3 linked regions of the Sus scrofa genome follow. The protein of the gene in region 3 interacts with the protein of the main gene of each other region in a pairwise test. Links are inferred from orthologs where the notes say so. Each region holds a gene or a part of one and is shown on either strand. Other genes may lie near its edges. The genes, in order: WTAP, PPP1R18 and VPS52.

Region 1 (10,203 bases), on a different chromosome or scaffold from region 3:
GGATTTGAGTCTGTGCAAAGGAAAAAACCTAGTTACCACCAAACAAAGAGAAGAGACTAAGAAGATGGGATAAAATCCCCTTCATTCATTGGACTTGCCAACTTGTTTATTAAGCCCCTCCTATCCATGTAGGAATAAAGCTCTTTGACTACATTCCATGTTGAAATTTTTTTTTTCTCTTTTGTCTTTTTTAGGGCTGCACCCGCAGCATACAGAGGTTCCCAGGCTCGGGGTCCAATCGGAGCTGTAGCTGCCGGCCTACACCACAGCCACAGCAATGAGGGATCCGAGTCTTGTCTGCGACCTACGCCACAGCTCATGGCAACGCCGGATCCTTAGCCCACTGAGCAAGGCCAGGGATTGAACCCGCAACCTCATGGTTCCTAGTCGGATTCGTCAACCACTAAGCCACGACAGGAACTGCTGGAAACTTTAATAAAGAGATTACATATTTACAACCAAAAGAGTACCACCCCCCAAAAAAAAAACCACATAAAAAAATTTAGTGTTACAGTTACTAAAAATGGTGATGCCCACTGAAAAAAAGGCCAAGTTTAAAATATTAATTATGGAGTTCCCATTGTGGCTCAGCACTAACAAACCCAACTAGGATCCATGAGGATGTGGGTTCAATCCGTGGCCTTGCTCAGTGGGTTAAGGATCCAGTGTTGCAGTGAGCTGTAGTATAGGTTACAGATGAGGCTCATGTGTGGCGTTGCTGTGGCTGTGGTGTAGGCCAGCAGCTGTAGTTTCAACTTGACCCCTAGCCTGGGAACTTCCATATGCCGTGGTTGCGGTGCTCAGAAGACAATAAGATATTAGAATAGTCATTTACTCATTCAAATCTATGCTTGTGGGAAACTATTCTATGTTCGAACCCCATAAAAACATACCAGGTACAAGATATGTATGAAGACATATTTGCATTTCTAAATTTTAAAAATATGTATTACTTACATATTTACGACTTGGCATTATAGCTTCATAAACAACATCTTAACTCAAAATTAGGTATATAATTATTTTTTTCCTTCTGAGTAGATTTAAATCACAGCTTTGTAGAGCTGTAAGGTGACTGACCTGATCCAAACTGCTTTTTTTGAGAGATTAAATAGCCAATTGTCCAAGAATATAGTTAGTTCAGTGCTAGTACTGAAACTAGAATCCTAGGTCTTAAGCCTCCTGACCCCCAACCTAGGGCTTTTCCCATCATACCAAATCCCTCTACTTACATTGAAACCTTCAATTTCAACTTCGACTGCACTACTTTCTAGCACACTAAAAATACATTTCTAAAATATGAAACAGGTTATTAGTATTAACTGCATCAGTTCCCTCACACCCAGGGTAAATCTTGTTCAAGATCCTGCTCCACACTAAACCTCCAACAGGACTTAAAATTAACACTTCCTAGGCAGCTGTAATTTATTTTCAAATTTATTATTATTTTTAATTATTTTATTTTTACTATAAATTAAGTAAAAGATACAAATACACTAAGTGGATTAGGAATATATTCAACTACTATTTCACTGAGCACATGGGAACTAATTATTTTTTCTTCTAACTTAAGGAGATTTTTTTTTTTGTCTTTTTGCCATTTCTTGGGCCGCTCCCGTGGCATATGGAGGTTCCTATGCCAGAGCCACAGCAACGCAGGATCCTTAACCCACTGAGCAAGGCCAGGGATTGAACCCGCAACCTCATGGTTCCTAGTCGGATTCGTTAACCACTGAGCCACGACAGGAACTCCTTAAGGAGATTTTTTAAAACAACTCATTTTAAGCCAAAAACTACAACTATTTTATTCAATATAAAGCCAACTGTTAAGGTAATTTGACAGGAACAAATCATGTCAGGTAACAAACACCATGACTGCCGTCACTGAAGAAAACACCGTCTCTCTGCCACTGACGTCGTCGTCACATCTATGTGTACAGGTTGGCAAAGCAAACTGCCCTCATGTGCTACACATAAACTTGCCATTTCCTTGTATTTTTGTGCCTGCTGCCCTTTCTACAAAACCTCACTCTGCATCCCACTGAAAAGAACAGTGGCCTGTGCAGAGGAGAGCTGTTAAAAAAATGTGGCTGAAGAAAGTTAGGTTCTAGTTGGGAAAAAACCGTAAAATCTAGGTTAGGAAGGGGTGATGGGACATCACCAAAGGCTTTGATGATGCCTAATATGATCACAACTGCCTGCGCAGTTACTGAGGTGAATCAACAGCAGGTGCTAAGAAGAACCTGGGCTAGGATGGCAAGAGCAGGACTCCAAAGACAGAAAGAAATCAAGACCCACTGAGGTTGAGACAGTACCATCAGCACCATCCATTCACACTCTGTCCCAGGTGCTAGCACTCTGAAGGTAAAAGTCATCCTTTGATGTGTAGGCATCTAGCATAGTGCCAGGTCAACAGGAAAACCTAAAACTATTAAACGAATAAATGGTAGAATCTAGGATCCTAAGTATCGCAGTAAGAATTAAATGGTTTTGAGACCGAGCACTTGAGAAGTAAGTAGTACTCATGCCATTAGATGTGAAAATCCTGAAAGAAAAAAAACTGGAGGGGAGGGGTGGTGTGGGTGTCATAGACAGGGAAAAACAAAACACATCCTTATATTCAAAATCTTGGTGACACTTTTTGGAACCAAGTACCCAGGTTAAAAAAAAAAGCCAAAAGTAGGAATGGTCAATAGCTAAAGTTAGGCTAAGTGAAGGTATAAGAGTACTTAGAGAGATTTCTTTGCAGCACTATTCACAATAGCCAGAACATGGAAACAACCCAAATGTCCATCAACAGATGACTGGATTCGGAAGAGGTGGTATATATACACAATGGAATACTACTCAGCCATAAAAAAGAATGACATAATGCCATTTGCAGCAACATGGATGGAACTAGAGAATCTCATCCTGAGTGAAATGAGCCAGAAAGACAAAGACAAATACCATATGATATCACTTATAACTGGAATCTAATATCCAGCACAAATGAACATCTCCTCAGAAAAGAAAATCATGGACTTGGAGAAGAGACTTGTGGCTGCCTGATGGGAGGGGGAGGGAGCTTGGGCTTATCAGACACAACTTAGAATAGATTTACAAGGAGATCCTGCTGAATAGCATTGAGAACTTTGTCTAGATACTCATATTGCAACAGAACAAAGGGTGGGGAAAAAAATGTAATTGTAATGTATACTTGTAAGGATAACTTGATCCCCTTGCTGTACAGTGGGAAAATAATAAAAAATAAATAAATAAATGAAAGAGAAATTTCTTAATACACTCATTAGTGACGCCACAGAAGAAAAATCTGTGTCAGTGAAGCTGAAATCTAAGCTGGTAGAAACAAAAGGAATGCTGAGGGGGTAGAGAAAATAACAAAGGCTACTCTTCTTTAGCAAAGTAACAGATAAGTTGTTTTGAAAAAGTGAAGGAAGAGGGACTAAAGACTCTGGTGGAAATATGGACAATCTCTGCACAGGAAGTTTAAGAATTATGACTGACCCCTAAAGAATATTTATTGATGAAAGAAGAGACAGAAATAGAACTGCCTGCCCTGAAGATTCGAGAAAATTTCAGCTTTTAAGATTATAAACAATGGGGATAGAACTGTCTCTATTTTATGTAACTTACATATACAAACAGTAAAAAAAGAGTTAAGACTGTCAAAGAGAGCATAAAACAATCTAAATTTACAATCAGAGCTAAGTGATCAATCAAGTATGTTGCTAGATTTCAGATCTACACAGGCATGGCAAATAAAGTATAAATGAAAGATGTAAAAATTAAAAAGGAGACATGGTAGAAGTCGCCGACGCTAAGAAAAAATCTTGGGAGTCCAAGCTGTTTTTTTCAGCATTAAGGAACCTGACTAGTATTCATGAGGACACAGGTTTGATCCCTGGCCGTGCTCACTGGGTTATCGATCTAGTGTTGCCGTGAGCTGTGGTAGAGGTTGCAGACATGGCTCGGATTGTGTTGCTGTGGCTGTGGTGTAGGCTGGCAGCTGCAGCTCTGACTGGACCCCTGGCCTGGGAACTTCCATATGCCACAGGTGTGGTCCTACAACGGCGGGAAAAAAAGAGAAAAGTAGTTTTATGCAAAAAGGGGTAAAGTTAGCAGAGGATGACCTAATCAGATGGCTATCTTAGTAAAGAGTAAATGTTCCTTATACTCTTAGATATCCGGTTACTTAAAGAGATCTGAACCATTATACTAATTCTCATAAATCATGGAGATTGCAGAGAATAACCTGAAACTTTCATATCCTTGGCCACAAAAAATTATTTTAAAACCAATAATGAGGGGTTATCTATCAAAATTTTACATTTGGTATATTTAAGCCCAAAGCAGTTTAGTACTTATTAGTTAATACCTGTAGCAATGCGAACCCAAACCCAGTTACTCTGAAGACTTTAAGCCTCTGAAATACTCACAGTACACTCTTGCATCTCTTGCTCCTTGGTTGCTAGGCGCATTACAAGGATGTTTTCCCTGCGTGCAGATTCTTGCTGTTGTTGCTTTAGTTTTTCTTCAGACTCCCTTAAGCCAGTTACATCATTAGCTAATGATTAAAAGGAAAAAAAAAAAAAAATCCCAAAACATTATGAAATACAGTTTCAAGATCAAACTGAACTAATCAAATGAAAATTCTTATTGCCTTTGTCAAGGATAATGAAAACCACTGTAAAAGATCAAAGTCTTTGGTTTCTATCTGAATTACTTTTATTTAAAAAGGGCCACACCTACACATACGAAGTTTCTAGGCGAGGGGCTGAATCGGAAGCTGCAGCTGCCGGAAACAGCCACAGCCACCTAAACCACAGCCCACAGAAATGCCAGACCCTTAATCCACTGAGAAGAGCCAGGGATTCAACCCACATCCTCATGGTTACTAGTCCAATTCACTTCTGCCGTTCCACAACAGGAACTCCCCAAATTACTTTTATAACGAGAAAATTTGTTCCTGCTCAGGAGTGCTCTTTTGGTAGTGTTTACGGTGGTCCACAACCGCCTAATGCTAGAGACGGAATTATGTTGGTACAGTCTAATCTGTTCCCAACAAACACAGGAAACTTCACGACTTGCATTTTTAAATCCTGTACAATATTCACCAAGTTCTGATTAATACTGTTTTCAACTCACTCAATGTAAAGATGTCCACTGACTGCATGGACATTCCTCTTCTAAGCTTTTATAACATTCACCACTTAGATGGATTACAACATACTTACATAATAATGGAAATTTTAGGACATTAAGCTTTCTCAACTTGGAAAACCGTACTGGTTTTTATATTCACAGAGTATGTTACTCCAACTCAGTGAAAAGTGACAAAAAACCTCAAATGGTCTCAAGATAAATTCTTGTATTATTTTTAGGTTTTGAAAACTCCATAAATACACAGCTATATCATATTGTTACAAATCGAGCCATCATGAATTTAATACCAGTTGCTTCTACACTCCTCCCTTTCAGAGCAGTAATTCACGCTCCACTTCAAGTTCCTCTACGGAAGGGAGGAAGGGATGGATCAAGGGACGTTTCAAGTGGTTGTACATTTCTCTATCTGTGCTCTCTCAGAACCCGGGGGTTCAGTTGAGTCCCACTGTTGTGAGATTACTGCCTGTCAGTCTTCTCCAGTGACTCAAGAAGAGATCATGTCTCACTGACCTTCCTATCTGCCCACCTCCAACAAAGTGTATGGACATAGTCCCTTAGTAAATGCTTGAAGAAGCATCAGCAAAACTTTGCTCAGTAAAACCAATTATCCTGTGCTTATAACAACTATCTAAAAGAAAACTGTCACATGTCTTTAGGAAGCTCAACTCAAACTTACAGTTAAGATCTGTGTACTTGCCCTCCAAAGCTTGCACGTATGCTTCGTATTGTTTCCACCTGGTACAAAAATAAAATAAATCCATGTTAGTTACCATGTTGAAATTTTAGGGTCCCTTCCATTTTGAGATAATTATGAATCCAGTTTAACCCATAATAAATCAGTCACTTCAAAACCATTCCTTCTCAACTTACAGGAGTTAGGAAAACGGAAACAGAGAGAAGAGTGCTTTCTGTGGAGAGTATACACCAAGAGGTGCTCCCCTGGGTCAGATCAGACACCATATGGGACTTTGTCTCACTGATGTTTAGCATGATGCCTGGATTACAGAAGATGAATGAAAGACTTTCTTTCAGATGTGCTGTCTGCCTCAAACAAAATGTGCCTAATTCTAAGGGAATGAAGGTTATCTTGCCTCTTTTGTGAAAACACCACGTGACTCTCTCAAGGTAGAAAAAGAGAACACACATTTTTTAAAAGTCTAAACAAGGGCCTATTCTATAGCACAGGAAACTATATTCAATATCCTATAATGAACTATAGCTGAAAAGAAAAGAAAAAAAAAAAATTCAAGGGAAAATAAACCCCAAACATATCTAATTGGCAGAAACAACTTGCATAAATGCCATACACTCTAAGAGTGGAAAATGATTTTTTTTGTTATATTCCTCTACCCTCAAAATATAGGCCATATTACCTGCTCTTGACAATTACTGCAGATGACAAACTTTCTCCAGTCTTATGTTTAAGCAACTGCTTCTGGAGAGTAACCTGTCTGCTACCTTGCTTACTGAAAAGCTACTTTTCAAGCTGCTCTTCAGTTACAGCTAATCAAAATTTACTTTGACTTCAGGAAATAGTTCTACAATCTTAAAACCTCTGACAAGTTTGCTATGAGACATATTAATACATACAGCAAAACTATTCTGTAATATCAAACTAATCCTTCTATATAAAAACTAGGCCAAGGGCATTCTTATTTTTATGGCCTCTACAACCTAGGACACAAACAGGAGTTCATTCAATGTTTACAGATGAATTAAGGTGTTCTAAGGAGGTTAGGTAAGAATTACTTATTTTATTGGACTAGAGAAATATAAAAATTCAACTAAACTATCCTTATCAAGGAGACCGAGGGAGGGGGGCAGCAATTAAATAGGTAACAGTTAATTTAAAATCACCAAGAGAATTAATAAGGAAAAAACTGCAGTCAAATGAGAAGTACCTAAAGAAAGAAGTCAAAATGACAAGAACACAAATTGTAGTTCCCACTGTGGCTCAGCGCATAATAAATCCAACTAGAATCCATGAGGATACGGGTTTGATCCCTGGTCTCACTCAGTGGGTAAAGGACCTGGTGTTGCTGTGGCTGTGCTGTAGGCCGACAGCTACAGCTATGATTTGACCCCCAGCCTTGGAGCTTCCATATGCCGCAGGTGCAGCCCTAAAAAGAACAAACAAACAAACAAAAAAATTGTATGTAATTTTAAAACCTTACAGGTAACTTAAAAAACTGCTATTTGATTTTTAAATTGAGATCATAGCACTGCTTTCATCCCCTACAGTTAAATCAAGAAAAGAGACTGCACATACTAGCCAGAGGAATTATTTGAGAATAAGAAATGGTAAGAGTATTTTAAAATACTATTTACATTTTATGTGTGGGAAAATTAAGACATCATCAGTAGAAAAACAATCCTGGAGTTCCTGTCGTGGCTCAGTGGTTAACGAATCCAACTAAGAACCATGAGGTTTCGGGTTCGATCCCTGGCTTCGCTCAGCAGGTCAAGGAGCTGGCATTGCCGTGAGCTGTGGTGCAGGTCGCAAATGCGGCTCAGATCTGGCGTGGTTGTGGCTCTGGCATAGGCCGGCAGCTACAGCTCCAATTAGACCCCTAGCCTGGGAACCTCCATATGCCACGAGTGAAAAAAAGAAAAAAAGACCGAAAAACAAAACAAATGATCCTGTGAGTGAAATTATGGCAAAGGAAGATAAAAAAGCTTGTGTCTGCAATAGAGGAGCTAAGTGGTGGTGGTGGTGGGGGCAGACTCCAGGAAACAATGGAGCACGTCATTTGTGTTTCCTTATCTCACAAACCACTTTTCTCTCCTCTATTTCCAGTCTGCTAAATCCACTCAGTTTTTCAAGCAAAAATTCCTTAAAATTTCTAGAGGAGGAAGTTAAATGACCTTGCAAAGGCTGCCAATGAAAAACATTAATTTTATTTCAATCTAAAAGTGATCCCAAGAGTTCCCGTTGTGGCCCAACGGAAATGAATCCAACTAGGAACCATGAAGTTGCGGGTTCAATCCCTGGCCCTGCTCAGTAGGTTAATCTGGCGTTGCCATGAGCTGTGGTGAAGGTTGCAGACGTAGCTCAGATCTGGTGTTGCTGTGGCTGTGGTATAGGCCAGCAGCTACAGCTCTGATTAAACCCCTAGCCTGGGAACCTCCATATGCTGAGGGTGGGGCCCTAAAAAAAAAACAACAAAAAAAGTGATCTCGTAAAAAATTTACCATAGTGATAAAACGCAGAAAGAATATATTTAAGTTATAAAACACAAAACATGTGCGATCCCATTTTCTGATTTAAAATAAAAAAATGAGTAATTGACAATCTGCTTTAATAAGACATTTATAAGACAACCACACAGATTCAGAGCTGAAAGTAATCTTTAAAAGGAATTTAAGGGAGTTCCCGTCGTGGCGCAGTGGTTAACGAATCCGACTAGGAACCATGAGGTTGTGGGTTCGGTCCCTGCCCTTGCTCAGTGGGTTAAGGATCTGGCGTTGCTGTGAGCTGTGGTGTAGGTTCCAGACATGGCTCGGATCCCGCGTTGCTGTGGCTCTGGCGTAGGCCGGTGGCTGCAGCTCCGATTCAACCCCTAGCCTGGGAACCTCCATATGCCGCAGGAGCGGCCCAAGAAATAGCAACAACGACAACAACAACAACAAAAAGACAAAAGACAATAAATAAATAAATAAATAAATAAAAGCAATTTAAAATAAAAGTAATTTAGGAGTTCCCGTCGTGGCGCAGTGGTTAACGAATCCGACTAGGAACCATGAGGTTGCGGGTTCGGTCCCTGCCCTTGCTCAGTGGGTTAACGATCCGGCGTTGCCGAGAGCTGTGGTGTAGGTTGCAGACGCGGCTCGGATCCTGCGTTGCTGTGGCTCTGGCGTAGGCCGGTGGCTACAGCTCCGATTCAACCCCTAGCCTGGGAACCTCCATATGCCACAGGAGCAGCCCTAGGAAAGCCCCCCCCCCCAAAAAAGGATAAAATGTTACTTTCCTCAGTGTTTATATAATGAAGAAACAGGCCATAGGAAAAAGGTCTGAAGAGTATATTGAATGATTGAGGATATATTAACATTAGAATCAACACATGGTATAAACATTATAGTAGAGAATCATCATAGGAGAGAATCACAATGTAACGTTCTATAGGAAGATTTTATATTTTTGATAAAGAACAATTTACCTTAGAATCAATTCGTCTCGTGCCATAACTTTGAAGTCTGTCTCACTCAGTCGAACCTAAAAAGTTAAGAAATGAAGTAAATGCTCATTTTAAAAGTTTTAAATATTAAATACCACTGGCACTTACATCATTCATATTTTTATGAAGACAGGACTACAACTCTTAATCCCTCAACTGCTGGTTTCTGTGACTACAAATCCCCTTTTTACTGAAGACGTACAAAGCCCCTCTCAAAAAAAACTCTGTGTTGAAATGGTTCAGTATGTTTTATGATTTAAAAAAAAAAAATCTTATCTTTCGGAAAGAAGTTTTTAAAAGGTGGACTACTTGTTATCTTTAATATAGGCATCACTAAGGAAATGCAAATTAAAACTCAATGAGCTGGGAGTTCCAGTCATGGCACAACGGAAACGAATCTGACTAGGAACCATGAGGTTGCGGGTTTGATCCCTGGCCTCGCTCAGTGGGTTAAGGATCTGGCATTGCCGTGAGCTGTGGTGTAGGTTGCAGACGCGGCTCAGATCCCACAGTGCTGTGGCTGTGGAGGAGACTGGCAGCTGTAGCTCTGATTTGACCAATAGCCTGGGAACCTCCATGTGACACAGGTATGGCCCTAAAAAGCAAAACAAAACAAAACAAAAAACAAAAAAACCCCAATGAGCTATCATTACACTCCTCTAAATAAGAAACAGCAGTGGAATTCCCTGGTGGTGGTGCCATGGGTTAAGGATCCAGTGTTGTCACTGCTGTGGCTTGGGTTGCAGCTGTGGCATGTGGTTCAAATCCTGGCACGGAAAATTTCCACATGTCACAAGGAGGCAAAAAACAAACAAACAAACAAACAAAAAACAAACAAACCCCAAACCCAACCAAACAAAAA
Region 2 (10,303 bases), about 6.4 Mb from region 3:
TAGGGCCACACCCATGGCATATGGAGGTTCCCAGGCTAGGGGTCTAATCGGAGCTACAGCTGCTGGCCTACACCAGAGCTCGCAGCAACGCCAGATCCTTAACTCACTGAGCAAGGCCAGGGGTCAAACCCACATCCTCATTGATACTAGTCGGGTTCATAACCCACTGAGCCACCATGGGAACTCCCTGGAGTTTGATTTTTATTTTTTATTTTATTTTATTTTTTGTCTTTTCTAAGGCTGCTCCCACGGCATATGGAAGTTCCCAGGCTAGGGGTCTAATCAGAGCTGTAGTTGCCGGCCTACACCAAAGCCACGGCAACATGGGATCCGAGCCATGTCTTTGACCTACACCACAGCTCACGGCAACGCCGGATTCTTAACCCACTGAGCAAGGCCAGGGATCGAACCTGCAACCCCATGGTTCCTAGTCGTATTTGTTAACCACTGAGCCATGACGGGAACTCCTGGAGTTTGATTTTTCGATGTAAATGGTAGTCTGTAGGAATTACAAACAGGAGTATAGGAAAAACTTAACAAAATATCTTTGAGGTTTCTGACTTGTGGAGTCAAATTAATGAGGTTGAAGGCTAAAGTCATAGGTAGTTAATTATCACAGCTTGGATGAAATTAACCTACAAGGTTTACAACTGTAATAAAATTTTCTATCAAATACTTTAACATTGTTACTCTCATAGTTACAAAGCAATAGCCTTTGGCATTATTAGAACAAATCTTTCAGTGGTACAGACAACTTCTCTGCCTTTAGCAAACAGAGAGGAACAACTCAACAGTAAGTTATAGAATAAGCATTAATTTGTGGTAAAATAGTAACTCTTTCATCCAGCAAGATATAATAGGTGATTCAGAGCTGTGGGTTCTCAGCCTGGGTCAACAGTCTTCTGTTCTCTCACCTTTCATTATTAAAGTGTTAACTGAGGCTTTGTGACCTCTCACTCTGGCTATTTTCTATCAAAGCTATTGAAGGAAAGGGGGTTCATAATGCTCTGTTTCTGCAAGAATCCTTCAAAAGAGGAATTGACTTCATTTTAGATGCGAAAACTAGCCGAGCTGTGGAATCAAGCCACGTGAGTGACTGCACAGCCCTTGCCCTTTTCACCTCTCACTTGGGATTCTAACATTCCCTTCTGTGACGCGGAGATCGCAGGCTCCCGGGGATCCATCCTGCAGCCTGGTGGTGGAGAACCGCGCGCGCGCCTGCCGGAAGCCCGGACGCCCGCGCGCAGGAGCCCCGCCCTCCTGGGCGAGGTCCCCGGCGGGAGGCGGGTCCGGGGCGGGGCCTGCAGCCGCGGGAATCCCAAACCCGCCCCTTTCCCCACCTCTGTTTCTCGCCATGGCCCCTGCACTGCTCCTCGTCCCTGCTGCCCTCGCATCTTTCATCCTGGCCTTTGGCACCGGAGTGGAGTTCGTGCGCTTTACCTCCCTTCGGCCACTTCTTGGAGGGATCCCGGAGTCTGGTGGTCCGGGTGAGCGGGAGGGGCCGAGGACGAGCTCTGGGGTAGGGGGGTGGAGCCGGAGCCGAGGGAGCGGGGGCGGGGTTTGGAGACAAATGACAGGGGAAGTCCAGGAGAGGGAACTGGAACCGTGAAAGCCGCCGAGGAGCTGCAGTGGAGACCAAAGGGCTAAATTGGGAACCCAGGGATTAGCGGTTTGGAGAGGCGGGAGAGTGAGGCTGAGGGGGAGGGAAAGGGCGATGAAGAGAGTATTCCAATGAAAGTGCTTCGTAAAGAGGACTAAGGAGAAGAGTGTTATAAAGAGGGAGTATTAGGAGAACTGAAACAAGAAGGGCAGTCCAACAGTGGGTGGCCTCTGCAGCCATGCGTTTCATGACTATCCAACACGAATCCTTTTCCTCTGAAGGAGGTCTGGGGAAGAGGGAAGAAACAGGGAAGAAAAACAGGAAACAAGAGGGAAGAAAAATGAGGTGGGGAGTTCCTCTTGTGGCTCAGTGGATTAGGAACCTGACATAGTATCCGTGAGGGTGCGGGTTGGATCCCTTAGTCAGTGGGTGAAGGCTCTGGTGGTGTAAGCTGCAGCGTGGGTTACAGATCTAGCTCAGATCTGATGTTGCCGTGGCTATGGTGTAGGTCTGCAGTGCAGCTCCAAGGCTACCCCTAGCCCAGGAACTTCCGTATGCCACAGGTATGGCCCTAAAAAGAAAACAAAACAAAAAAGAAAAGTGAGGTGGGCAAAGCCTAGAGAGGAAGCATTAGGCTCTTGAAAACATTAAGGGATGTGGTCCTAAGATGAAATAAGGGTCAGGAGTGTTGCCCACCATCTTCTTGATTTGTGTCCGTTTTTCCAACTCCCGCTAGATGCTCGCCAGGGCTGGCTGGCTGCCCTGCAGGACCAAAGCATCTTGGTCCCTCTGGCTTGGGATCTGGGGCTCCTGCTACTATTTGTGGGGCAGCACAGCCTCATGGCAACTGAGACAGTGAAAGCATGGATGTCCCGGTACTTTGGGGTCCTTCAGAGGTCACTGTACGTGGCATGCACTGCCCTGGCCTTGCAGGTATGGAGCCCTGGCAACTAAGTCCCCAAGGGAAACAGTCTGTGGGAAAGATGCTGTCCATTGGCAAGGCAAGGGCCTTAGGTTTTCTGATAAAATGTGGATTGAGGAGGAGAACTGAAGGTGTTCAGGACTGTAACCTCAGCTTCCATTCCTCCACAGCACAAATCCTACTTTTTATCAAGAAGGATGTACTGCTTGTCATTCCCCGAGCACGATATGTGCATTCTCACCCTTGCAACTTTGTTCCTGTTGTCCTGCTTGAGATACCCTTGTTCGCTCCTCTTCAGTCCCATCCTTTCTTCACAACCACCTCCCTAGGTTTCAAAGAAGGCTTCCCAGTTGCTACTCATCTGTCTTCCCAGTGGGTGCTTGGCATAGGCTACTTTGTGACCCTATCTGGTTACTCACATCCATTCTGTAACTCCTCAGAGTAGAGAGGAGTCATCCTTACATCCTTGGGATCCCACCCAGCCCCCTCCCCTTGGCGAAAATTTTCACAGTGGAGGTGGGAAAGCAGGAGGTCAGCCTGGGGTGGGGGCAGCCTCTGGGTCTAGGTCTTTCAGGAGTGGGCTGCTCGGATACCCACCCCCTCATCCTTCTTCAGCTGGTGATGCGGTACTGGGAGCCTGTACCCAGGGGCCCGGTATTGTGGGAGGCTCAGGCCGAGCCATGGGCCACCTGGGTGCCCCTCCTCTGCTTTGTGCTCCACGTCATTTCCTGGCTCCTCATCTTCAGCATCCTTCTCGTCTTTGACTACGCAGAACTCATGGGCCTCAAACAGGTGAGGCTCCCAGATCCCTCCCTGAGACCTCTGATTCTTTCCAGAACACCTCTTTCCCTTCCAAGGATGTCCCTCCTCCTCCTTCCTCTTGCTTTTGACTCCCTCGCCTCCCTTTCTTGTAAGATAGTCTCCCCCCAAAGGCCAGAAACCATGGCTCTTCTGGACCTGGGGAAAATTCAGGGGCCCAAGTCTCAGAGGGGTGGTTCTTGGATTGAACCTGAGTTATAGAAGGAGGGTGCCTGGAAGGGGAGGAAAGAGGCAGCCAAGTTGTGACAAGGGCTTGAGTCCACTTCTAAGCCGTTCTCCCTCTCCCAGGTGTACTACCACGTGCTGGGGCTGGGTGAGCCCCTGGCCCTGAAGTCTCCCCGAGCTCTGAGACTCTTCTCTCACCTGCGCCACCCCGTGTGCGTGGAGCTGCTGACAGTGCTCTGGGTGGTGCCCACTCTGGGCACTGACCGCCTCCTTCTTGCTCTCCTCCTTACCCTCTACCTGGGCCTGGCTCACGGACTTGACCAGCAAGACCTCCGCTACCTCCGGGCCCAGCTGCAAAGAAAACTCCACCTGCTCTCCCGGCCCCAGGATGGGGAGGCTGAGTGAGAAGCTAACCCTGGTTCCAAGCCCTACACTTCCTCTCCCTCCAATTCCAAACCCCTTCTCATCCAGGACCTGTCTGCTTCAGACCAGAGACCCAAATCCAAGGACTGAAGGACCTGTCCCTTCCCCTGCTTAAGCCTCTCCTTCTTGGGTCCAGCTCTAGACCCTAAATTGAGTTTCAGCTACTGGACGCCAAGGTCCACTTCTCACCAGCCAGGAAGAGGGAGTGGGAAACTTTATCTTTCTCCTCATAGTTTAGGGCTTGACCCTCCGTTTACAACCTCCTTACAAGGAGAAGGGCCTGGCCTGACCAATCCCCTGGCCCTGTTACTCGCCTCTGCGCCTCAGGGATTCTCTTCCCACATCTTGCTCCACCTCCTAGAAGCTGGACCAAGGTCTGCAAGTTTGACAATAGAGGCTGCCCCCCACCCCCCCACCCCAGGCTCCAGGCCTTGCAGCTGCAGGCCAGCCCCACCGCCTGGCCTCTCCAGCTCCATAGGCCCTTGCCCTTGGGCTCTATCCTCGAACTTAGTTGGGCAGATTCTCCCGCTCTTAATTCAGGTGACTAAGTGCTCCCTGCTCTCCCGAGGAACTCGCGCTACAAGAAAATAAAATCCAGCCTGGTTTTTCTACATGTAGCATGCAGTCTGTCCAGTGCCTCTCAAGCTGCAGGGCTGATTCTGGGAAGGACAGGCGAGCCAAGCCCGAGTCAAGGCATCCGCCGCGCCCTCTGGCGACCGCTGGGCGGCGGCCACTCCCAAAGGACCCACCCCTCCTTCAAATCCCCCAATTTCCTCGCTGCAGATTTGGGGGCCCCGGCAGGAGACAGGTTGAAGCTGAAGAGTGGGGACAGCGGCTCGGGTAAGAAAGCGAGCTTCCGAAACCTTTGGCTTCCGAGCACAGCTCCTGCCGATGCCCCACCACCGCCACCACCACGGGCCCCCCGTAGCCCTGCGGCCGCCCCGGCCCCCACACTAACAAAGGCTGGCCGGGGAAAGCAAAAGCGTGGGGAGGAGCGGCAGGAGATGGGAAGGGCGGGCCCCGCTCAGAGCAGCTGCTGCTTCCTCCCCAAGTCCCTCGAGGGGCCTGAGTCACGGGCCGCCGCCCTGGGTCGGCGAGCTGGGGGCGGGGGGTCTGGACACCTGGGTTATCCCGGGTTACCGGGCGGGAGCCGGGTGAGAGGCCCTGGGGACAGACAGCGTAAAGGCCAGGGCTTGCGGCGGGAAAAGAGGTGTCCGGGAGCCCAATCCCACGCGGGGTCGAAGAGGGCGAGGCTCCGCCCCCTAGTCCGGCTCCGCCCCGCGCCCCCTTCGCTCTTCCCCATTGTCCTCAGACAAAGCGGTCGCCGCCCCCCGCCCGGCCCCCAGGTCTCTGTCTCCGTTCCTCCTCCTCCGCTCCCTCTTTCCCTCCTCCTCCCCCTCCCTCCTCCCCTCCCGCCTGTCTCCGGATCTCCCTCGATCCCTCTCTCCTCCTCTTCCTCTCTCCTCCTCTCTCCGGACACCAGGCTCCTCCGCACCCCCGCCCCCGGGAGCCCCGCGGCGAGTGAGTTGACGGAGGGGCTTCAGACTTGGGGAGGGTGTCTCCTCTCTCCCGTCCCTTCTCCCGTCCCCGGCCCGGACCTTGGGCTGTCTCCTCTTTGTGCCGAGATTGCCTGTCTGTGCGGCCAGAGCCGGCTGGGGATGGCCGGCTATGTCGGGGTTCCGTGAGAGCCGATACCGGGCACGGGACTGGCAGGCTCCGGAGGCGTGGAGCTGGTCCTTCGCATGCCTGGGTCCCGGGGCACCGCCGGTGCAGGAGGCAGGCGGTGGTACGGGGACCGGGTGGGGGTGGACGCCAGGGTTCTGGGAATGTGCTGGCAGGTCTGACGCCCGGGTTCCGAAAGTCCCCGGGGGAGGGTATTTCCCCTGACCCGCCTCGGGGCGGAGTGCGGGGCGGGGGGTGGGGGCTGGGGGGCCGGAGAGGCGTGGCCCGAGCGGAGCTGGAAGGGGAGCCCGGACCTCCGGGGCCCGTGCTGAGACTCGCCGGGCTGCAGCCGCGGAGCTCCCTCACCCCTCTGCCCCGATTTCCCCTTCTCCCCAGGACTCGTCCACTCTCCGCCCTCCCACCTTCCCGACACCCGTGCAGATCCCACTGCCCCCTCTCCGGCGGGATTCCCTGACCTCTCCTCCAGCTCTCAGCGCTCCTGGGTAGCGGTGAGGCAACCTTGCCTGGATCCTGTTCCCGTCACCCCCAGCCTCTCTTTTCTCTTCCTCCCTCGCGCCAACTTCTTTCGTTTTTCAGTCTTCTCACATCCTCGGGACTGTCTGATGCCCATTAACCTGTGCTGACAAATCTGACTCCTACCTCTGCCCTGAATCTCCACTCTTCCTCTCAACTCCCTCCCCCCACCCCCTCTACCTGGCTCTTAGTTCCTTCTTCGCGTTCTCAGTGTTCCCCCTTTTCTGCCCTCCCTCTTCTCCCTCTTTCCCTCTGTCCTTCCTCACTCTCAGCTCCTCTGTCCTCTTCCGAGTCCCACCTCTCCCCCCACTTCCTCTCCGCCCACCCCTATTCTCACCCCCTGGGCCTTTCTGGAGCCTCTCCTTCCTGTTCTCTGCCCCCAGCGCTCCCCCACCCTCCCCAAGTCGACCATGGCCACCATCCCGGACTGGAAGCTACAGCTGCTAGCCCGGCGCCGGCAGGAGGAGGCAGCCGTTCGTGGCCGGGAGAAGGCAGAACGGGAACGGCTGTCCCAGATGCCAGCCTGGAAGCGGGGGCTTCTGGAGCGCCGCCGAGCCAAGCTTGGTCTGTCTCCTGGGGAGCCTAGCCCTGCGCCTGGGACTACGGAGGCTGGACCTCCAGACCCAGACAAGTCTGCCGTCCTCCTGGAGGCCATTGGGCCAGTGCACCAGAACCGCTTTATTCGGCAAGAGCGCCAGCAGCAGCAGCAGCAGCGGAGTGAGGAGCTACTTGCGGAAAGACGGCCTGGGCTCTTGGAGGCCCGGGAGTGGAGATCCAGCCCTGGGGAGATGAGGGATCAGAGCCCCAAGGAAAGAGAGTCTAGAGAAGAGCGGCTCAGTCCCAGGGAGGCCAGAGAGAGGAGGCTGGGGATAGGGGGAGCTCGAGAGTCAAGCCCCAGGCCTTTGGAGTCTAGGGACTGGAGGCAGAGCCCAGGAGAGGCTGGAGACCGGAGCTCCAGGCTGTCAGAGGTGCGGAAATGGAGGCTGAGCCCTGGAGAAACTCCGGAGAGGAGTCTAAGACCTGCAGAGCCTCAAGAACAAAGCCCCAGGAGAAAAGAGGTGGTGGAAAGTAGACTGAGCCCGGCGGTCTCTGACCACGAGAAGCTGGGCCTGACAGACGCCCATAAACGGAGGCCTGACTCCGGAGAGTCTCAGGAACAGAGTCTGGTGCTGGAGGCATCAGAGTGGAGGCTGAGCTCAGGAGAAGAAAGAAAAGACTGCTTGGAGGAATGTGGGAGGAAAGAAGAGAGGACACTTCCAGGGATGGTCCCAGAAGACATTACAGGGTCGCCAGAGACCCTGACAATGGAGGCTGCAGGCAGCAGCTCTGGAGGAGTGGAGGCAGCAGACCAGAGGCCCATCCCTGTGGAGGATGGCGAGAGGGACTTGCGGCTGTCAGAAGGGTGGAAATGGACCCTGAACTCTGGGAAGGTTCGAGATCGGACACCTAGGGACACAGAGACTCAGAGTCAGAAACCGGAGTCTGCAGAGAAGCACTTGGGGCCTCTTGGTGCGGAAGCTGGAGAAGGGGAGGCGGAGAAGGAGGAGGCAGGGGCTCAGGGCAGGCCTCTGAGCGCCCTGCAGAACCGCTGCTCAGTGCCCTCCCCCCTCCCACCAGAGGACGCTGGGACTGGAGGCTCTAGACAGCAGGAAGAGGAAGCAGGGGAACTTCGGCCCCCACCAGCAGCCCCTCTGTCTCCCCCACCCCCAGCCCCACCTGCCCCCCAGCCCCCTGGGGATCCCCTCATGAGCCGGCTGTTCTATGGGGTGAAGGCGGGGCCAGGGGTGGGGGCCCCCCGCCGCAGCGGACACACCTTCACAGTCAACCCCCGACGGTCCGCGCCCCCTGCAGCTGCTGCCACTCCAGCCACCCCAGCCACAGCTGACGCTGCAGTCCCCGGAGCTGGAAAGAAGCGGTACCCGACTGCCGAGGAGATCTTGGTTCTGGGGGGCTACCTCCGCCTCAGCCGCAGCTGCCTTGCCAAGGGGTCCCCTGAAAGGCACCACAAACAGGTAGGGAGCAGCCGAGCCAGACTTCTAGAAGCCCACTGGTCCGTTCTCTGTGGACTCCTGTCTTTCTGTCTTTTTTTTATACCCCGGTCTTCTGTCTGTTCTTTCTTAATTCGTGCCACCACCCTTCCTCTCTGTACACACACCCTTCCGTCTTGTAGTCCTTCTTTTCCATTCATTTCCCAGCCCCAGGATCCAGCCTGTGTCCTGGGTGTGTCTCTCTCAGGGTGTGCTCCAGCTGCTCGCTCTCCCTTCCCTCGGGCTCTGAGCACCCCCCACCCCCCATTCTTTCCATTCCTGAGTCTCTGACCCAATCCAGCCCATCTGGTGGGAGACTTGAACCGAGACCACAGCCCGGCACCTGTGAGGGCAGGCTCCACAGGGCAAAAGCACTGCCAGCCTCCCAGGGGAGAGAGTGTTGGGGTAGGAAGCCTGGGGAGGCCGAGGGGGTGGCTTTGGGGTTCTAGGGAGAAATGGCAGTGGGGAGTAAGTGGAAAAAGGTCTCACGATGCAAGGCAGAGGGATGCAAGGCAGAGTGGAGGGGAGATGTCCTTCGGGGGGAGGGGAGGGGAACAGCACTGGCCAAAGAGCAGAGAGAAGGCTTTTGAACCCCACGTCTGCCCCATGGGAGAGACACACACAGAGGCCATTTGAAGTGGGTGACCTCGAGGTTGCACACCCCCAGCTGGGCCACAGCTTCAGACAGTGCTCCCTTCTCTCTTGGGACAAGAAAAGCCTTCTCCTCTTCCAAAATCCCCCCCCACCCCTCCCTGGCTGTCCTTCCTCCCCGGGCTTCCCCTCCCTCCCCAGAACGGGCTCAGTGCTTGGTTTTCCCCTTTATTCTTCCTTCCTGGCCTCTCCCTTCTCTTGGGATCGGAAGAAAGAAGTGAGTTTGGAGCCACTGTGCAGGGAGTACAATGGGAGTTGGGGATGGGGGTGAGGGCTGAGGACGGCAGAAAAGGTCAGAGGTTAAACTGGAAGAAAGGCCCTGCAGGGAAGCTGGGAACAGCCAGACTGACTTCTTCTTCCCCAACTCCTTCCCCATCTACCCGTTTCCGGCTTGAAAATCTCCAAGGAAAGAGATTTGCTGCATCTAACACATCTCCCCAGAGACTGGGGAGCCCTTCCTGGTCCTGATCCCATGTGTGACATCCTCAGACTTGTTTTTCGTGTCCTCAGTATCAGTGGGAAAGCACAGGGACCAATGCTTGGGGGACACGTGAGACCTCGATTCATCTTCACACAATGCTTAGGGTCCCAGCCCCGAGCTGAGCCATGGTCCCTGAGTCTGTCCTGAGCTCTCTGACTTGCAGATGCCAGGAAGTGGGTCAGGAACAGCTGGGCTGACTTGTTCCAAGAAGTCCCTTTCTACTGTAGGGGTTGGCTTGTGCCCCCTGGGGAGGAACGAAGACACGAAGGCATGAAATTTGGGGCCCAAAGCCCAGGGAATGCTCGAGTGCCTGGCAGGACCCGCGAGGGTGACCGTACCTAGGTCAGGGAGCAGGGGAGACGGAAGCAGGTCGCCCAAACAGGAAGCCTGGGTGGGGGCCGGAAGGCTGGTGGGGCTGAATGGTGAACGCAGGGCCATGGGCCTGCCAGAGCTGTGCTCAGGATGTGGTGAGAGAAGAAGGAAGCGGCCACTCAGGGGGTGGGGGTGGGGAAGAAGCAGTGCAGAGTTCTCTGGGCCCAGATACCTTCCCCTCAACCCTCCCTCAGGCCTTCACCACGCTGCCAGCACCCTGTTCATCAGGGATGGGCATGCCCTGTCCCCACCCAAGGGATCAGGGCCACAGCATCCCCCCCACTTCCCTAAATAACTCCCATTTGCAGGCTAATTCCATCAGATGTATCCCTGCCACTGGGAGAGAAATCCCTGCCCTGCCACTGGAGCCCAGGGGTTGGGCTGTAGCTGGTGCCCTTCCTTCCCCAGAGGCCCCTCTGGCGGGGAGACCAGCCCCTCCCCTCTCCAGCCCCCTTGTGACCTTATATAGCTGATGAGAGAGGAGTGAGTGAGTCACCCCCTCCGTGCCCCCCCCACACCCATGCAGGCTGTGCATTCCTGAGAAGCCCAGTCAGTAGTTGGGGTGGGGGGAGAGAAGCAGGGTGAGGGGAGAGAGAGACACAGGGACAGAGAGCAAAAAAAAAAAAAAAAAAAAAAAGGACTTTTCC
Region 3 (10,203 bases):
AAGTTCATGGGGAGGGCCGGTGGCTCCAGCATCTGGTGTGTCAGAAGTTGGGCTTGTGCTTCTTGAGCTCCACCATGAGGTGGTGGATGTTGATAAGCTCAGCACGGGCTGGGAGGGCTCGGAGCTGGGGCTGGGACAGCACACGGTGGAAGCGGTGGTAGAGCTGGATCAGCTGGGTTAGTGCTCCCTGCTTGGAGAAAACCACCAAGGGATGAGGTATGGGGTGGTACCAGGGTGACGATTAGGATCATGTCAGGGCACAGGACTTGGGGTCCAGATGGAATGAAAATCAAGGGTCACTTGTATGATTCTGAGCCCAGAGAAAGGGGTGGGGGAGTTCCATGGTGGCTCAGTGGGTTAAGGAGCCAGCATTGTCACTGCTATGGCTCAGGTTCCATCCCTGGCCTGGGAACTTTGGCACGCCACGGGCGCAGCCAAAAAAGAAAAGCGGGGGGAAATCAGTGGTGGGTGGGTGGGACTGGGGACTGCAGGTCACCTGGATGATGCTGGTTCCATTCCTGAAGTTGGTGAAGCTCCGCATGACATCCTGGCTCAGGGACTCCACAGACGACTTCCAGGAACTGCCAAAGCCCCGGATCAGCTGAGTAACGCGGGCTGGTCGTGGGGGGAGAGGTAATAGCCATGTGATGTTTGATCCCTCTAGGCTCTCCACCAGGCACCGCCATCCTCACCATGCAACCCCTTTTCACCAACCCACCCTTCCCTGCTCTACCACTGCCCCCCCACCCCCCGCAATGTGATCTGCATCCTCAAATTTCTTCTTTCCTGGGAGTTCCCTTTGTGGCACAGGGGAAACAAATCCAACTAGGAACCATGAGCTTGTGGGTTTGATCCCTGGCCTCGCTCAGTGGGTTAAGGATCCGGTGTTGCCGTGAGCTGTGGTGTAGGTCACAGACGGGGCTCGGATCTGGTGTTGCTGTGGCCGTGGTGTAGGTTGGCAGCTGTAGCTCCAATTAGACCCCTAGCCTGGGAACCTCCATATGCTGAGAGTTCGGCCCTAAAAAGCAAATAAAATAATTCAAAAAAATTTAAATTTCTTCTTTCCCGTTCACCTCTCACTGACCCCACCCACCCTTCTTACCTTCTTCCCCTCGGAGTCGTTCGGCTTGCCCACGCTCAATCAGGGCCTCAGCTTCCTTCACAAATGCCACCAGACCCCCAAAAGGGGGAGATAGCAGCTCTTCGATGAATTCCTGTAGAGACACACACACACACAGTCGAGTTTCCTGATGTCTGCAGGTCCTCCCAGGTCTGGCGTCATGACCACCTGGGTCCTTAGAACACTCCTGTAACAGCACAGCTCATCTCTAGAAAGGTCTCCCAGAGCTAAGGGAAATCTCCAAGGACTACCCTCCTCAAAATAATTAATTCATTAAATGGTTTACAAAATGGAGCTGGGAGCAGAGGGCTGGAACCAGGGAAGTGGGCAACTGGGAGAGGCAGGGCTGCCAGAGGTAAGTGGCCATGGCCACCTGCTACCCAGAAGCTGAGCGGGATGCCAGCCTTGAGTGGGAAGCTGAGCTGCCTCTCTCACGAGAGCCTCTAACAGGTGGCAGTGTAGACCCAGGGGGAGGGCATTTTTCAGTGACTGTAAAAGGAGATGCCAACCTTCTCTGAAAAACCCTCAGTCCCAGCGCAGGGCCCTGGGACTCCCCCGATTAAGGTCAAGGAGAGGAGTCAAAGACCAGCAGTCGTAAGAAAGAGACTACCAGGAAAATTAGCACAGACAGTACACCCAAGAGCGCCCAAGACAGCCAACGTTACACTGCCACATACACAGCAGCTGGGCCTTCTGTATGAAATGTTCAAAGAAATTAAAGATACAGACACACACATGATCAATTCACAAGATTAGGAATGGACAGCTTTGAAACAATGGAATTTTAAAGAAATGATTTAAAAGTAACACTTTTTCTGGGAGTCCCTGTCATGGCGCAGTGGTTAACAAACCCAGCTAGGAACCATGAGGTTGCAGGTTCGACCCCTGGCCTTGCTCATTGGGTTAAGGATCCAGCATTGCCATGAGCTGTGGTGTAGGTTGCAGACGCGGCTTGGATCCTGCATTGCTGTGGCTCTGGTGTAGGCTGGCGGCTATAGCTCCGATTAGACCCCTAGCCTGGGAACCTCCATATGCCTTGGGAAGCGGCCCTAGAAAGGGCAAAAGACCAAAAAAAAAAAAAAAAAAAAAGGTAACACTTTCTTTGGTCACACCAGCAGCATGTAGAAGTTCTCAGGCCAGGAATGGAACCTGGGCCATAGCAGCAACCTGAGCTGCAGCACGACAATGCCAGGTCCTTAACCCAGTGTGCCACCAGGGAACTCTGCATCATATTTCAATTGGACAGCACCAGTCTAGACTTGGATGAACTTTAAGCTCTCAATCCAGCAAAAGAGAAGTTCTGGCAGCAGAGGAATGGAAAGAAGGAAGGGGTGCCCTGGGCTTTGGCTAGCAATCTGTCCCATGACACCGAGCAGCAGCCCCCAAAAAGGCCAGGGAGCGCTGGTGACAGCTGGCTCCCCACCATAGCAAATGCCTCAGTGCCTCAGCTGCTCCCAGCAGGGTCCACTGGTTGTGGGGTCAGAGGGCAAGGGAACTGCACTTCTGAGGAAGAACTGATATTCCCTCTGTCCCCTAACTGTGCAGGTAAGGACAACAGCTTCCTTTCTCAGCCATGATACATGTTTATGTTACTAAACAGAGAATGGAATGGGAATGTTTAACCTACAACTAACCAGATCCCTGGACAGAAAAAAGACTGGAGGAATGTAAGGTTAAAAAAGATACTGGTTCGGAGTTCCCGTCGTGGCTCAGTGGTTAACGAATCCGACTGGTAACCATGAGGATGCGGGTTCGATCCCTGGCCTTGCTCAGTGGGTTAAGGATCCAGCATTGCCATGAGCTGTGGTGTAGGCTGCAGACTCGGCTCGGATCACATGTTGCTGTGGCTGTGGTGTAGGCCAGCAGCTGTAGCTCTGATTCGACCCCTAGCCTGGGAACCTCCATATGCCTGGGTGCGGCCCTAAAAAGACAAAAGACAAAAAAAAAAAAAAAAAAAAAAAAAAAAGATACTAGTTCTATAGGCTGGCAGCTGTAGCTCTGATTCAACCCCTAGCCTGGGAACCTCATATTCAGTAGATGCAGCCCTAAAAATCAGACACACACACATACAAATACTGGTTCCGGGACTGTGGCGCAGTGGTTAAAGAATCTGACTAGGAACCATCAGGTTGCGGGTTTGATCCCTGGCCTTGCTCCGTGGGCTAAGGATCTGGCATTGCCGTGAGCTGTGGTATAGGCTGCAGATGGCGGCTTGGATCCCATGTTGCTGGGGCTCTGGCGTAGGCCAGCAGCTACAGCTCCTATTGGATACCTAGCCTGGGAACCTCCATATGCCGCGGGAGTGGCCCAAGAAATGGTAAAAAGACAAAAAAATAATAATACTGGTTCTGGGGGAGGGGCAAAAGAGGGGTAAGGTTAAGGGACTAAGAAAGCCAAACTATTATGCATAAAATAAATAAGAAACTAGGGAGTTCCCCGTCATGGCTCAGTGGTAAATGAACCTGACTAATATCCATGAGGACATGGGTTCAATCCCTGGCCTCGCTGAGTGGGTTAAGGATCTGGTGTTGCCATGAGCTATGGTGTAGTTTGCAGGTGTGGCTCAGATCCTGCATTGCTGTGGCTGTGGTGTAGGCCAGCAGCTACAGCTCAAATTCAGTCCCCAGCCTGGGAACCTCCATATGCCACAGGTGCAGCCCTAAAAAGACAAAAAAAAAAAAAAAAAAAAAAAAAAAAAGTAAGAAAATAAATAAACTAGAATACTCCCTCGCACCATACACAAACATAAACTCAAAATGACTTAAAGACTTAAACATAAGATACTATAAAGATACTATAAAATTCCTAGAAGAGAACATAGGCAAAACATTCTCTGACATCAACCATACACATGTCTTCTTAGGTCAGTCACCCAAGGCAATAGAAATAAAAACAAAAATAGGCCAATGGGACCTAATCAAACTCACAAGCTTCACATAGCAAAGGAAACCATAAAAAAAAGACAACCTACGGAACGGGAGAAAAGAGTTGTAAACGATGCAACTGACAAAGGCTTCATCTCCAAAATATACAAACAACTCATACAACAGCAAAAAAAAAAAAAAAATCCACAATCGAAAAAGGGGCAGAAAACCTGAACAGACAATTCTCCAAAGAAGACATACAGGAGTTCCCATTGTGGCACAGCAGAAACAACTCCAACTAGGAATCATGAGGTTGCGGGTTCGGATCCCTGGCCTTGCTCAGTGGGTTAAGGATCCGGTGTTGCTGTGAGCTGTGGCATAGGTCACAGACAGCTCGGACCCCGAATTGCTGTGGCTGTGGCATAGGCCAGCAGCTGTAGCTCCGATTAGACCCCTAGCCTGGGAACCCCCATATGCCGCAGGTGCAGCCCTACAAAAGACAGAAATGGCCAAAAGGCACGTGAAAAAATGCTCAACATCACTAATTATTAGAGAAATGCTAATCAAAACTACAATGTACCACCTCACACCGGTGAGAATGGCTACCATTAATAAGTCTACAAATAACAAATGCTGGAGAAGATGTGGAGAAAAGGGAACCTTCCTACACTGTCAGTGGGAATGTACCTTGGTACAGCCACTATGGAAAACAGTATGGAGGTAGCTTAGAAAACTAAATATAGAACTACCATATGACCCAGCAATCCCACTCCTGGGCATATATCCAAACAAAAACTCACTGAAAAAGATACTGCATCCCTATGTTCACTGCAGCACTAGTAACAAGAGCCAAGACATGGAAACAACCTAAATGTCCAACAACAGGTGAATGGATTAAGAAGACGTGGTACATATACACAATGGAATACTACTTGGCCATAAAAAAGAACAAAATAATGCCATTTGCAGCAACTTGGATAGAACTAGAGACTCTCATGCTAAGTGAAGTAAGTCAGAAAGAGAAAGACAAACACCATATGATATCACTTATGTGTGGAATCTAAAATATGGCACAAATGAACCTATCTACAAAACAGAAACAGACTCTCAGACATGGAGAACGGAATTGTGGTTGCCAAGGAGGAGGGGCAGGGAGTGGGATGGACTGGGAGTCTGGGGTTAGTAGATGCAAACTATTACACTTAGAATGGATAAGCAATGAAGTCCTGCTGTACAGCACGGGGAACTATAGCCAATCACTAGGGACAGGACATGATGGAGTGTGAGAAAAGGAACGTATCTATACATGTTTGGGTCACTTTGCTGTACAGCAGAAATTAGCATATCATTGTAAATCACCATACTTTAAAAAATAAGCAAGGTAGAAGGATATACTGGAAAACACAGAATAAAGTAAATATTTTATAAGAACCATAAATGGCACATAACCTTTTTTTTTTTTCTTTTTAGGGCCACTCCAGGTGTTGCTGTGATTTAGGAACCCACAACATATGGAAGTTTCCAGGCTAGGGGTCAAATCAGAGCTGCAGCTGCTGGCCTATACAACCCACAGCAACGCCAGATTCCTGACCCCCTGAGCGAGGCCAAGGATCGAACCTGCATCCTCATGGACACTAGTCAGGTGTGTTTCCACTGCACCACAACAGAAACTCCTGGCACATAACCTTTTAAAATTGTGACTCCCTGTGTTGTAGACCTGTAATTTACATGAGATTGTACTTCAAAAATATCTCCATTTTATTTTGTTTTAATTTTTGTCTTTTTGCCTTTTCTAGGGCCGCCTACGGAGGTTCCCAGGCTAAGGGTCTAATTGGAGCTATAGCCACTGGCCTATGCCAGAGCCACAGCAACGTGGGATCCGAGCCGCATCTGCAACCTACACCACAGCTCACAGCAATGCCGGATCCTTAACCCACTGAGCAAGGCCAGGGATCGAACCCGCAACCTCATGATTACCAGTCGGATTCATTAACCACTGAGCCACGACGGGAACTCCTTTATTTATTTATTTTATTATTATTTTTTTTTTTGCTATTTTAGGGCCACACCTGTGGCATATGGAGGTTCCCAGGCTAGGGGTCAAATCGGAGCTGTAGCTGCCAGCCTACACCACAGCCACAGCAACCCAGGAACTGAGCTGCATCTGCGACCTACACCACAGCTCATGGCAATGCCAGATCCTTAACCCACTGAGAGAGCGAGGTCAGGGATCGAACTCTAACGGATCCTAGTCAGGTTTATTGACTGCTGAGCCACAAAGGGAACTCCAATATCTCCATTTTAAAAGTAAATAAAATTTAGGAGTTTCCATGGTGACTCAGAGGTAATGAACCCAACTAGTATCCAGGAAGACATGTTTTGATCCCCGGCCTCACTCAGTGGGTTAAGGATCCAGTGTTGCCATGACCTATAATGTACGTCACAGACACAGCTCAGATCTGGAGTTGCTGTGGCTGCGGTGTAGGCCGGCAGCTGTAGCTCCAATTCATCGCCTAGCCTGCAAACTTCTATATGCCGCAGGTGCGGCCCTTTAAAGCAAATAAAAATTAAAATAAATTTAAAAAAAACACAAAAATAAAATAGACCAGTAATGACAGCCTGGTCTGAACCAAGTGTTACAAAGCATTACAATTCCAGTTCTGTGTACCTGGAGTCCACTAATTGCCACTCCACACCCACACTCTGAACAAAAACAAATACGGCACACAGGTCCTCCTTCCCTTCCCCACACCCCTACCTGTGTCCGAGCATTGAGCAGCTGCTGGAAACTTTCAACCTCTTTGCTGTCATCAGCAGCCCTCTCCTAAGAGGAGACAGAGCAAAACCTAAGGTTGTGGAGAAGCCGCATTTCAAGTCTGCGAGCCCCTCCCTCCCACGTTGGCCAGACGCCGTGCCAGGTGCCGAGAATCAAACACTGAACGAGGTCAGCAGGGTCTTGGCTCTCACGGAGCTGAGAGAGCGGTGGGGGGCCCGAAGGGAGCCAGAGGGGCCCTTACCATCAGCACGCCCAGCATCATGTCATAGTTGTTGATCAGAAACACAAGCTGCTCCTTCCTTGAGGAGAACTCGGCTGCTACTCGGAGGACAAAATTCTCCACCTCCACCTGAAAAAGTGGCAGGAGGCGGTGACTCGGAAGGCAGGGGCCTTCTGCAACCCAGCCACTGCCCTGCCCCTGCCCTCACCTGTAGCTGACCCAGCAGCTGCATCGTCCGCTCATTGGGAATCGTCTGATTGATGCTGACGAGGGCAGAGGAGAACTCTGCATATCGGCGTGTGATCTGGGAGGCAGAAGGCAGGAGAAAAAAATCCTACCTGTGCCCTGGCCCAACCAACAAGCCCCTGGAAGCCCTTGAAGCTGGTCAAGCAGCCTCTGGGTGACTCCCGTCTCGGATCCCTCCCCACCACCGTGTGTGTCCCATTCCAACCCAGTCTAATCATACTCCTCGCTGCTTCTCACCCAGTGAAGCTGCATATGCTGCACCATGACCATGACCCTGGGCAACCCCATGGCCAAGCGTGGAGCCCTGCTTCCCAAACCAGTTACCCTCGCCCCCCCTCACATAGTGAGGCCGAGTGTCCAGCCCCCCGAGGCGCTGGGGGTCAGTGCTCCGGACGCTCTGGACGTTCATCTCCAGGATCAGCTCAAACCGCGGCCACAGCAAGGCAAGCACCTGTTCCCAGTACCTGTGGGCTTCGCCAGAATCAGAGATAGCAGCAAGGAGCACAGGGGTGGGGAGGTGGGGTTGGGGTGTGTGCGGGCACCCTGACCGGCACAGGGGCAGGAGGGTGTGAAAGCTGGGTCTGGAAGCAAGAGCACTGCTTCCCAGCAGACACACAGGGACAGGGCCAATGGGATGAGGCCACTAGGAGCCCAAGGGTCAGGGCAGGTGTGTAGGAGACCAAGAGCTCAAGGCTGGTGGGGGGGGGCGTCGAGAACCAGAATTCAGCACCTGTCCAGGGCGGGGACATCCCTCTTTGCTGCAATGTTTCGGAACCGGAGAACAATATGGATACAGAGAAAAACCGCTATGGCATCGTAGCAGTCGGCCAGGTAAGACTCCAGGTGCTTCTGTGATTTAGGAACAGGAAGGGGATTGGAGGATTGTGTTTGGGACTCTGTCATTCAAGTGGCTACAGACAAATGCACGGGCTCCTCTGGGGATGTGGGGGGGGGGACGATCTAAAAGGAAAATGCTCCCTCCTTCCCTGCCCACCGATCCTCTGCCTTGCTCACCAGATCTGTGGTCACAGGCCCATCACAGCACAATTCAGGGCTGAACACCAAGGTTTAAGGGCCCCTGAGTTTTCAGGTGCTATTGCCTGGTGTGGGTCTGCGGCAGGGGTGTTCTGGGAGACCCCAAGCTGTGGTGGTTCCATGGGGAGTCACACAGCTTTAGAAAGAGGGCATCTGGTTGCAGTCTGTCCAGAGCCCTGACCTCAGTGATGAGTAAGGAGGACCTGGAGGGCAGAGAGCAGGGGAGCCAGGGCACTTACCAGCGTCATGCTGAGGGTGCGGCCCATGACAGCGTGGAAGAGGTCGTGTGCAGCCGGGCCAGACACCACGAAGAACTCGCAGATGAAAAGATATTCTCGGCAGGAGTTGTCCAGGAGGGCATAGTGCTGGCTGCGGAAGAGTGCCTCAAAAGGGTACTAGAAAAAAAATTAAATTAAATTTTAAAAAAATAAAATAAAAAAAAAAAAAGGAGTTCCCGTCGTGGCACAGTGGTTAATGAATCCGACTAGGAACCATGAGGTTGCGGGTTCGATCCCTGCCCTCGCTCAGTGGGTTGGCGATCCGGCGTTGCCGTGAGCTGTGCAGGTTGCAGACTCGGCTCGGATCCCGCGTGGCTGTGGCTCTGGTGTAGGCTGGTGGCTACAGCTCCGATTAGACCCCTAGCCTGGGAATCTCCATATGCCGCGGGAGCGGCCCAAGAAATAGCAAAAAAGACAAAAAAAAAAAAAAAAAAGGGTACTAGGAGGGGAGGGAAAAAGAGGGGAGAGAGAAGGGTTGACGTGGCTGAAAGACCAGGAAAGCTGGGCAAGGAGAGCACAGGAGGCACTCCCCTCTAACCCGAGTCCAGGCTTCGAGAGGGCATCCTGAATGGGGACTGAAGAGGTGGGGGCACAGGAGGAGAGCACCCCCCACCCCCCGCCTGCCGCTGCTGCTGCTCCTGCCCCCACCCCCAGGCCTGCCTCCTGACCCGGTGACTGGCCGGGGGATTCACTCAGGGGTCTGCCTCCTCCTCCTCCTACCCTCTGTTCTCCCCGCTGCGCTGTGTGCGGCACAAGGATGGGGGCTTCCAGTTCAGTGGGCGAGATGACGGAGCCACGGGTCCCCAGGGTGAAAATGGTGTTCCTGCTGCGGAGGGACGGCTTTGAGAAGAAGCGTGCAGGGTCACAATCAAGGAATACAGTACTGTCACTGCAGTGATGGAAGATCAAAGCCTTGGGAACTCCATTGGGCCCTGGCAGCCAGACAGCCTCAGCATCCCCCAGGACCAGGGCCCCACTTCAACGGATGTCTGCAAATGGGCCCCAGGGAGCCTCTCCACCCCTGACATGACATGCAAAACAACACATCAAAGTGATTTGCGCATTTTCTTGAGGGAGAAAGTCATAGCTTTTATCACGCTCCCAGAGGTGAGCAGCAGAGCCCCAGAGGCTGGACCCAGAAGCCCCGCCCGCCCCAGGCCCAGCAGGAGCGGTCCTCAGCTGCAGGATATCTTTCTTTGCTGTGTCCTCCACGCCCATCAGATCATCCTTCTCAGCGACTTCCTCATACTAAAGAAAAGAGAAAGGAGCCCTGGTACCCAACCCTTTCCAGAGTGCAACAAGAAAGGGCTCTCGGCTCTGAGCCAGGGCAGGGGCCGCCTTTCTCCTGGCCTCACCTGCACCTTCATGAGCCGCCCCAGGTAGGAGCGGTAGTAAGACAGGTACATCTTGCTCAGCGTCTCCACGTATTCGTCCCTGACCTCCTTGGCCGTGGCCCGCTCATTGCCCAGCAGGAACTGATAGAAGAACCTGGAGTGGCAGGGACGGGTCAGCCCCGTCACCTGCACCACCAGACACCACGCGTGCTGCGCAAAAGCTGGGAGTCCCCCCCTCCCCCCAAGACGGTCTTTCGTTCAGGTGGCCACCTGTACTTCAGTAGGGCCGTTTGGGGGATCTGATAGTTGGTCATTGGTTTCCTGAAGGAA

The links.
Region 1: the proteins of VPS52 (region 3) and WTAP interact in binary tests that used the Homo sapiens proteins (3 or more experiments, as listed by UniProt). The two-hybrid records come from large-scale screens. The link is inferred for Sus scrofa from reciprocal best matches to the Homo sapiens genes VPS52 and WTAP.
Region 2: the proteins of VPS52 (region 3) and PPP1R18 interact in binary tests that used the Homo sapiens proteins (3 or more experiments, as listed by UniProt). The two-hybrid records come from large-scale screens. The link is inferred for Sus scrofa from reciprocal best matches to the Homo sapiens genes VPS52 and PPP1R18.

Annotation. Positions count from the first base shown.
Region 1 is NC_010443.5:7,630,747-7,640,949, forward strand, and holds part of WTAP (pre-mRNA-splicing regulator WTAP), read right to left. Parts: intron 9,380-10,203; coding exon 9,324-9,379; intron 5,902-9,323; coding exon 5,843-5,901; intron 4,568-5,842; coding exon 4,440-4,567; intron 11-4,439; coding exon 1-10. UniProt on the Homo sapiens protein: Associated component of the WMM complex, a complex that mediates N6-methyladenosine (m6A) methylation of RNAs, a modification that plays a role in the efficiency of mRNA splicing and RNA processing.
Region 2 is NC_010449.5:23,216,548-23,226,850, reverse strand, and holds the start of PPP1R18 (phostensin), read left to right. Parts: upstream 1-4,555; 5' UTR 4,556-4,769; intron 4,770-5,388; exon of another isoform or gene 5,389-5,450; intron 5,451-5,466; exon of another isoform or gene 5,467-5,715; intron 5,716-5,987; exon of another isoform or gene 5,988-6,508; 5' UTR 6,509-6,535; coding exon 6,536-8,137; intron 8,138-10,303. Other genes in the region: NRM (nurim), read left to right, coding at 1,355-1,487, 2,337-2,533, 3,138-3,314, 3,630-3,911.
Region 3 is NC_010449.5:29,624,745-29,634,947, forward strand, and holds part of VPS52 (vacuolar protein sorting-associated protein 52 homolog), read right to left. Parts: coding exon 10,144-10,203; intron 10,028-10,143; coding exon 9,895-10,027; intron 9,788-9,894; coding exon 9,730-9,787; intron 9,394-9,729; coding exon 9,260-9,393; intron 8,657-9,259; coding exon 8,501-8,656; intron 8,076-8,500; coding exon 7,957-8,075; intron 7,691-7,956; coding exon 7,567-7,690; intron 7,285-7,566; coding exon 7,189-7,284; intron 7,110-7,188; coding exon 7,002-7,109; intron 6,809-7,001; coding exon 6,743-6,808; intron 1,215-6,742; coding exon 1,103-1,214; intron 616-1,102; coding exon 497-615; intron 188-496; coding exon 41-187; 3' UTR 1-40. UniProt on the Homo sapiens protein: Acts as a component of the GARP complex that is involved in retrograde transport from early and late endosomes to the trans-Golgi network (TGN).